Linked DNA regions of Neodiprion lecontei. The protein of the gene in region 2 purifies or fractionates together with the protein of the main gene of each other region. This does not show direct contact. Links are inferred from orthologs where the notes say so. Each region holds a gene or a part of one and is shown on either strand. Other genes may lie near its edges. The genes, in order: probable protein BRICK1-B and cytoplasmic FMR1-interacting protein.

Region 1 (3,749 bases), on a different chromosome or scaffold from region 2:
TGTACGCCACCTCTTTATGTGGAAAGTTGTACAGAAAAAGTAAATGTTTACAATACTATTATAAGCAAAATCTCACTGTATTATAAAGCTTCCTTGACCAATTATTATAAAATCACATTACATGTCTTTCGTCATAAAATAGAAAATTTTATAAAATTGCACTTTTCTTACATCCCATGCAACTCATCTATCCTATGTCAAAGGTATGGCAGCCGGAAGTCTCTTGGGTTACATGTTTAAGGCTCCTATCTTTATATGGCCCCTTGCTGTAATGACCGGGGCATTTTGTTGCGTTAGAAAAGATGGATTCACTAAAGGATACGTTATGGGTGATCTTAATAACGTACAGCGAATTTACGGAAATCACAGAAGTCCTCATCATGACTCCAGTTTGTTTCCTGTTGGAGAGAAAGGTTGGACGACTGGGGCTTGATTAAAAAATCAAGCACATTTTCCAAAAATAGTGTTACCTTAATATGGTTGTACGTCATCATGCATTTGCTATTGTCGCATGAGAGGATGTATATAAAAAAACGTATAAATACAGTTATTCGGTTCAAATAGTTTACATTATTTATTGTACATACATATTAAAGAGGTGAAAGTTTCTATGCGTAAATTATTATTATTATTATTATTATTGATATTTAATTTAAATTATACGTTTATATACATATATGTCATGTTATGTCAAGGTTTCTCCTTTAGTTACCTGAAAAGGCAAAAAACGACTGTTAGATTGTAGTCTGATAATTTTCTGAAAAGTGTGTAGGTAGTAACTCATTTTCGAATTTAGTACATCATTCAGAATACTCATTGGAATTTTCAGCACACTTACAATGCCGTAACAAGTCTAATGAGTCATTCGTATTTGATTAACATACGAAAAAACAGTCGATAGTTCAATTCTGACATTAAAAAAATTATCATTCTAAGCTGTTCTTAAAGCTTATCCTGAGATATTTTCACTAGATGGTTTTATCTGAGGTAAAATTTTAATGTAATTTTCAATGGCATTTATAACACTGAGCTGATTTTGAGCTAGCATCTATAAATTGTAACTTACACATGCTTCAAGGTATTCTATGCGACGTTCTAATGTTGTTAGTTTTTCATTTAAAACAGCCAGTCGTGACCTGCATGACATATCTGTAAACAATGAAGATATTGAATAAAGCAGCTTCCGGATTGTAAATATCCTCACTCTCTACATTCGGTAACTTCAGAAATGATTTCTATCATGAGTTGGACAATGATTGATCCTTCGTGAGAAAAAGATACAACTCCGAAGGAGCAAAAATGTTTATAATTAGATATTGAAGTGTGACTGAAAATCATAATACTTAATCTAGGCTTGGATAATTGACACACGAGTGTTTAGTTTTTATTAACTGTAATAAACACTGAGCAGCGGAATGAAGTGAACATAACCTAAGGATAAAGTGAAAAGTTAATTCATACCGAATGAATTAAGGAAGTCGGTGATTTTTTTAATACTTCCAGTTATAACTTCGATGTATTCGCGATTTGCCCAATCCTGTTGGATTTGCTTCTGTATTGCCTCTCGGTGAATTGCAGCCATTATTTAGGGCTTTACACAAACCTCAGTTTCGCGTCTTACTCACTGTTGCTGTCAGGACCTAATCTGACCATCCCTTGAGCGATCGTAGGTTCGTAAAACCGGCGCAAGACTAAAGTGCGCATGAATTTCTGCTGATAATTTCACGTACGTCACAAGTGTCACAAGTGACACTTGAAACATGAATGAGGAAAAACTGCATGATTTCGGATATTAGCGAATGAAAATACCGGCTTCAATTATTTTATACAGTACCGTGATTTGTATAAAACATATACGCTCATGTGACAAATAGTATTTTCACAAGTATTTTTATTTTTCCCTGAGAGCGTATTTCTAGGTTAGGTTAAACTTCCCAACGCTGTTGCTGGATTGCAGTAAATGTGGAATTTTCATTTCCGTCAATAGCGTGATATATTGTGTGTCTACTGATTAAGAGCGTCGATGGTGAATCGTGTGCACAATTTGTAAACGATATCTATAAAATTTTTTAATAACGCACGACGTCTGATACACAGTTGATAAAATGTCATCTAAAGACAGCTGTCCGGATTCAAAATTGAAACAACAGACGTCGGCTGAAAAGAAAGGTAAGTTTTTCGACTCATAATATATACTTGTACACTGGTTGATCAATGAAAATTAATCCTTTCTTATAAAATAGCATAGATGTAATTAACGATGATTTATATTACAGGTATAAAAGAATTGGACATATCAGAAGCTGGATTATACGCATATGGAGCTATATGTGCGCTAACTTTGGCGGAGTTGTTCTCAGATCCCAGCGATCATGCCTACAATAATTTATGCATGAAAATGATCTGTCAGCATTTGAAAATGAATGAAAAAAACGAACCTGTAATGATGTATCTTAGCGAGGGAAAAAGCGAGCAGTCCCAGGAGCCTTATATTGCTTTGCTTATGGAAGAACCCAATTTAAAAGGCAAAACAATTTTAGTTGTACAGGATTTGGTATTACTGGCTGTGCGTAATGGTGAATAAATTTTTACTTTTCAATGCAATATTCATACATCAGCCATTACGTATTCAGTTACCCATTTATAAAAGATTGAAAAGTAATATACCACAAACTAAAATCTTTCATCCATACATTTAGTAAATGGAACAATTAACAGCAGAGTAATCAATTGTACACAAGTTCCTAACAATATTCTTACCAGGAGAAAAATTGGCAGGGGTTTTGGGTACAGACGAGATGAATTTTGAATCTGTGTTTCACATGCATAGAGTTGCTCAATCATATCTTGCGAGAAGGCAAAATAAAAACCGATTCACACAGATATTGTAAAATTGTAGGTATCATTTACACTCATTATGTTCACTTTCATCATAAATTTTAACATTTTTACAATATGATAAAATTTTTTCTACCATTCTGATGCGACCAGTTTATGAAAACCGATATTTCATATCACTTTTTTGTATTCTTACATTTTCTTCAGGGATTGTGTCAGGTAATAATCTTAAAAATATTACAAGCACTGATATACATATATATATTTATATGTGTGTAGTTAGTAGTAGATGATTTCACAAAATACAATATCAATGGATTCATTTGATGTACTTTTTCAATCCAGGTGAATATGATTCTAGACAAAGAGTACTTATCAGACGAGTATCCGAACTATTAAATGTCCCATTTGAATTAATTGAATTCTATGAGCATTCCCTGGTCAGATTGTTGAATGAGAGTCAAAGCGAACAAACAGAGTATGTACATAATATTTTGAATCATTGCTTAATGTACTTTTTGTTTTCTTTTACACACTTTTTGCCTCTGCGATAGTAATCCTTGTCATATAAAATTGGGTCTCATAATTATTTTTGATATTCAATACAGGGCAGAGCAACATGAGACTGAACGACGTGATAAAATACGTAGAATCAAGAGATACGCAGCGATTGGCTTAGCCACAATAGGAGGTGGAACATTGTTAGGTTTAACCGGAGGTTTAGCCGCACCATTTATCGGTGTTGGAGTAGGCACAATACTTGGAAGTGCGAGTGCAGCTGCACTGGGCAGTACGGCTGGTATTGCGATTATAGGTTCCTTGTTTGGAGTGGCTGGAGCTGGACTGACAGGTTTGACACTGAACTGTTTTTAATGATTGTTTGTAGAGGTTGTCAATGTTTCAATGATTTG
Region 2 (5,012 bases):
AAATGATAACAATATACGTTTTGTAGTTCAAAATATGAAATGATACAGCGTGTACATACAGTTGTACATACGAGTGACTTACCGCTAAAACTAAGCAAGTAATTCCAGTAAAAACTTGTTTTATGAAATTGATCGATCTGCACGAGATATTGCCCATCTATATCCTTTCTCAGCGTTCTCTTACCTCCGCTCTTATCTGCAATTAGTGACTCCAACATCGTACGTACCATGTACAATTGAGTCGATGATGGACCTTCAAACAATTCGGAATAAATCTCATTATGTGTACAATGGCCACGAATCAATATCTTAGTAATATTTATAATTGCAAAAAAATGTGTGAACCAAACTTACCAACATTTCTTCTTGGAACTTTAATGACAAAACCATTGTCTGGATCTTTTTTGCCCTTTAAAGCTGGGTCCGCTACAGGTTCAACGCCTTTTTGCCAATCTGCACAAGTCTCTCGGACCGATACAATTATACTTCGAATCAAATCTTTTTTATTCTTGGTAGCCTTTCTGAGTGGTTCTCTTAAAATCAATTGTACAAAGTCCTGTAGTTCAGCGTAAATGTTTCTGCGTATAGCATCGATAAAGACAGTTTCCATGCGAGCCATCAGAACTTGCAGGCCCTTGATCATAGCTATAACTTCAATCAGAGCAAACTTTTCTTCATCTGTGTAATTGTATCGGGTTGCCTACAGAAATTGAACTTGTTATTCATTGACCTTGCTTGGATTGCAGGTAGTCGATTAATTATTAATACGACGGTTGGCTAAGAATGTGAAACATATTATCAATTTAATTTTAGAACTTTACCAACCCGTTCATACTCTTCAGCTTCTTGCGGACATTCTTTATTCATGTGATGGTCCGTAGGATGAAGTAATTTCCAGCTATACAGTTCTGTAACAACGCTGGTCCACTGCGATAACAGTTGTAATCCTCGCAATGCCAATTCAGCTGTTTCTCTATTTTCCCCATCACTTCCACACTCCTTATACGTTGTTGTTACTTCATTACTGTACCTGAACAGAAAGTTAAATGGATTATTATAAATACAAACGTAAGTATGAAGACTTTCCAAAATTGAATAATCGTGTACGTTCAGTGTTGATATTATGAGTAATACCTCGCCAATTCGCTGATGTATTTGACGTGATCTTCTCTGATTTGAGGAAGGTGTACCATAAGATCTGCTTGTGGACTCATACTGTTAGAAGAAGATGAAAGTGGCCACTTTGAAGAGTCGAAGTGCTTCGACCGTTTGATGTAATTGAAGGGAGCAATTTGCATATCTCCAAACAGTGGTACGACCTCCAAGTTTTTAAATATTCTATCAATCCTGTCTAGTTTCAACTTCTTTTTTTGATCCAACTTATTAATGTTACACAAGTCACTGTCCATCAGAAATAACCCAAAGCCCATGACCTTAACAAGCATGTGCTTTTCATTTGGTGTTAAATACATCTTCGTTTCGAACATGTGTACACAAATATTAACTACATCTGCTAGAAGCTCTTCATACCCAGCAATTTTCTCTAGATTTTCTTTTACGGTGTCACGAATTTTATTTTGCGTTGCCAGAAACAATGACAAATTCTGAGACTCTTGAAGAGTTTGCGAATCAGTCATTACTTTCAAAAACTGAGCAGCTCTGAAATAAAATAATGTAGTTGGTGATACAAATAAATTGTTAATATTGATTAGAGATTGTTCTCAACTTTTAACTGTTTACTTTTGCTTAAAGTATATATACCCATACCTTCTGTACGTTGAATAATCATTCTTAACACTCGATTTCATATTTTTTAATTCATCGAGAACAGCAAACATATTAATGAATTTTCCAAGAGTTAGTAGGTATGCTTCAGAGACAAAATCCTTTCGCTTCTCATGGTGACACAAGCGCTTAACTTCAGCAGAAAACCTTTCAATAGCTTTTCTCTGATTTAACAAAGAGAAATATGATTATAACTATTTTCCATTTTCATTTATGATGTATATTAAATTTGTAGCTTCTGTATTTTAGTTAGGATAAAAAATCACCCACTTGAAAATACATAAAGTTCAGCAACTTGTTCACTTCAGGTGCTAAGACCTCAACTGTTTTCTCATATATTTCAACACGATTTGGCTGCTCATTGGATTTTGGTTGAGGAATTGCTCGAGAACAACATCTCCAGGTATATAACATTACCGCATGCTCTAGACCTTCTTCGAGTAGTTCGTTCTGTAGGTAAAAAATAAAGAAAATAACAGTAATTATCCAACTATTATAGGGTTGATCATAATGTGAACTGAATAAATTTACCAAACTAGCGTGTACAGTTGCCTCTTCAATGTACTTGGCAATACCAGTGACAAACCCATTTCTATCTTCAAAATTTGTATCAAAATTAGCTTGATAAACAACGGAGCACGGTTGGGCTTCAATGCAAGGCTGCTCATCAGGCAGGGTAAATTCGTCGAGTACATCGACATTTGATAAAGCATCAGCCAATGTTACCTTATCGGTAGCCATTGCTGTGTTTTGCTATAGTCTAAAATTGAATTATAAAATAGGTGTAAAGCGTCAAATCGAAGGATTTAATATGTGTAAAGATTGCAGCTAAAGATTGCGCACATACAATTTCGGAAAAGTAGACTACATAAAATTTAGGTAGAACGTAGAGATTATTGTATTTTTTAATAGCAAGTTTGAAATACACTCGAATTATTTAACAGACGAGCTCTGTTTACTCTTGGGAAGATCAGTAAATGTCCTCTTTGTTGTCGAGGTTATATTTATAAGATGAGTAATCAAACAAGGAAATGAAAGTGGGAAATAATCATTTGGTTAACGTGATTAAAGACAAGCCAGTGTCAGGTATGTGAAATTTTTTATTTAATATTTCACGAATTTTATTCATAAGACATACCTTCACAATAATTTGTCACAGTTGAAAAAATTGACAACAAACGTCACCCGACAACTCCACCCCAAGGTAAAGAGTACTCAAGAGACTTCTGGGAAAAGTCATTGTTCCATGGGAATTTATCATTCCTACCAAACCCTGAGAAAAAAAGGCCCACGCGTAGCTGCATGGTGAAATGTAATTTAAACAGAGCAGCAGGAAGCAGTTCTACACGGACCGTTGGTGAGTATTGAAATACAGCTAATGATAAATATGGCACGGGAAGGAGGAAATTGATAAACCAGAACCTAGAGTTGGGTAAATTTTAAAATTTATTCGAAAGTCTTTTAGACGGATAATTAGATCTATATGTATAATAATAAACCTCTATTCTATATTACAAATAATTTACAATATGGATGACAATATAATTTTACAATTTTCAAAAAATTGCACATATTTTTTCATTTTTTTTTTTACCTGGCTCGGTTTCGATAGAGAATTCTATTGACTATTCATTCATTCTCGCACCAACAAATTAAATAGCAATAACAATTACGTTGAAATAATAATATAAAAGAAAAGTTGAAATTAATAGAATCTACAATGTTCAGGGATATCTCCAAATTTGTTATCTACAACTCGCTATATAAATATATATGTGTACTGCAGTTATCAAATTAATATGAAATTGTGTGCGCATATTAAATGATGAGGTAAATTAAAAAGTGAGAATATTTTCCAATAGCGTGAAAATTAAAAGAATCAAAAGTAATAAATTAGGAGTAGAGAAAATTAGAAATAAACGTATATTCAAATCAATAATAAATGAATTCAGTAATTAATTACTATTAAAATGTGCAACCTTAATAATATCACATTGAGAAACGTTACATGTGTGTAATTATAATAATAAAATGCGAGAGATAAAAGCGTTCCAAAAATATGGCTTTGATATCATCAAAGTAAATTTAAAACTAAGACCATGTTTTTCAAATTTCACACACCACAGGTCATGATGCTCATAGACTCATGAATTGCCCAATCAATATCGTAGACATATGCCCTACAATTTTCATGTATCTAAAAAAAGCATTGAATCTCTTTTAATTGTAATGTTCAAACTCAACGACTAAGTCTCATTTTTAGGATCTATTAGATTATCTTGGCCACGTGTGTTTATTCTTGCTTTACTAAATATAACTTTCTTGTTTGGTTTTCAACTACTCAATGAACATTGCTACGCAATCACCAACTGGTACACAGATAGAATCAAAATTTCACCAATGTACCTTGTTTAGCTCTACTGCTGGTATCTCAGAATTGATACCCACACGATAAACTGTTTTTTTTTTTTTTATAAAACTACTATGATCAGTAGTTCAAAATATGAGACATACAGACACGTGTTCATGTTTCAAACTTTCGTAATTAATTACATTCGTGATGGTTGTCATATAGTTCGATCCGTTGCACTTCTGGATATTTTTTCTATATACTGTCTAGTGTTAATAGCGGTTTATAATGCGTACCATCGGCCTCTATTCACACATCACACAATTAATGGCTAAAAAACTATTATTATCAACTATAGACAAAACCTAGTACACTCTGCAAACTATAAGTACAAATATTTGAATAACAACAAACAGTGTTGGAACAATATATCTCACACCCCTTGCACGTGCGTGGAAACAAAATAAACGAAATCAAACGAACCAGCAGCATGCTTTCAAAGTTGTACGTACACATTATCTTCTATAAGTGTATGTAGACGGATAATTGTTAATTAGGTTCTGAATGATTTTCGTTGCAATGCACAACAAAAAATTTTCCTGAAAATTTATTCCGAATAAAATCAACAAAAACTGTTCTATATTTGCGTTACATTCCCCAGATATGGTCGAAAAATATCGCGATAAATGGCAAGAATCGTTAATAGGTACATCAAAGTAGATTTTTTAGTAACGATCACGCTGTCACTACTGAAAACTGTAATATTATAAAAGTGATTCTGCTTAGGTGATATGGTTTTCGACTAAAAATATTAGATATAGTGGCTTGAATTTGGCTCTTTAGTTTTATGAATTCTCTGTTGTGATCCGTTCGTGAA

Evidence for each region.
Region 1: the proteins of cytoplasmic FMR1-interacting protein (region 2) and probable protein BRICK1-B purify together in Drosophila melanogaster (affinity purification with western blotting; 4 studies listed by BioGRID). This does not show direct contact. The link is inferred for Neodiprion lecontei from reciprocal best matches to the Drosophila melanogaster genes Cyfip and HSPC300.

The regions. Positions count from the first base shown.
Region 1 is NC_060264.1:4,294,097-4,297,845, reverse strand, and holds probable protein BRICK1-B, read right to left. Parts: upstream 1,720-3,749; 5' UTR 1,583-1,719; coding exon 1,462-1,582; intron 1,150-1,461; coding exon 1,067-1,149; intron 713-1,066; coding exon 686-712; 3' UTR 616-685; downstream 1-615. Other genes in the region: uncharacterized protein LOC107227299, read left to right, coding at 204-433; transmembrane and coiled-coil domain-containing protein 4, read left to right, coding at 2,106-2,169, 2,277-2,576, 3,046-3,057, 3,184-3,316, 3,447-3,688.
Region 2 is NC_060265.1:7,521,785-7,526,796, forward strand, and holds the start of cytoplasmic FMR1-interacting protein, read right to left. Parts: upstream 3,018-5,012; 5' UTR 2,924-3,017; intron 2,546-2,923; 5' UTR 2,527-2,545; coding exon 2,317-2,526; intron 2,236-2,316; coding exon 2,056-2,235; intron 1,950-2,055; coding exon 1,768-1,949; intron 1,660-1,767; coding exon 1,135-1,659; intron 1,031-1,134; coding exon 826-1,030; intron 701-825; coding exon 355-700; intron 254-354; coding exon 83-253; intron 1-82. UniProt on the Drosophila melanogaster protein: Plays a role in guidance and morphology of central and peripheral axons and in synaptic morphology. Also required for formation of cell membrane protrusions and for bristle development.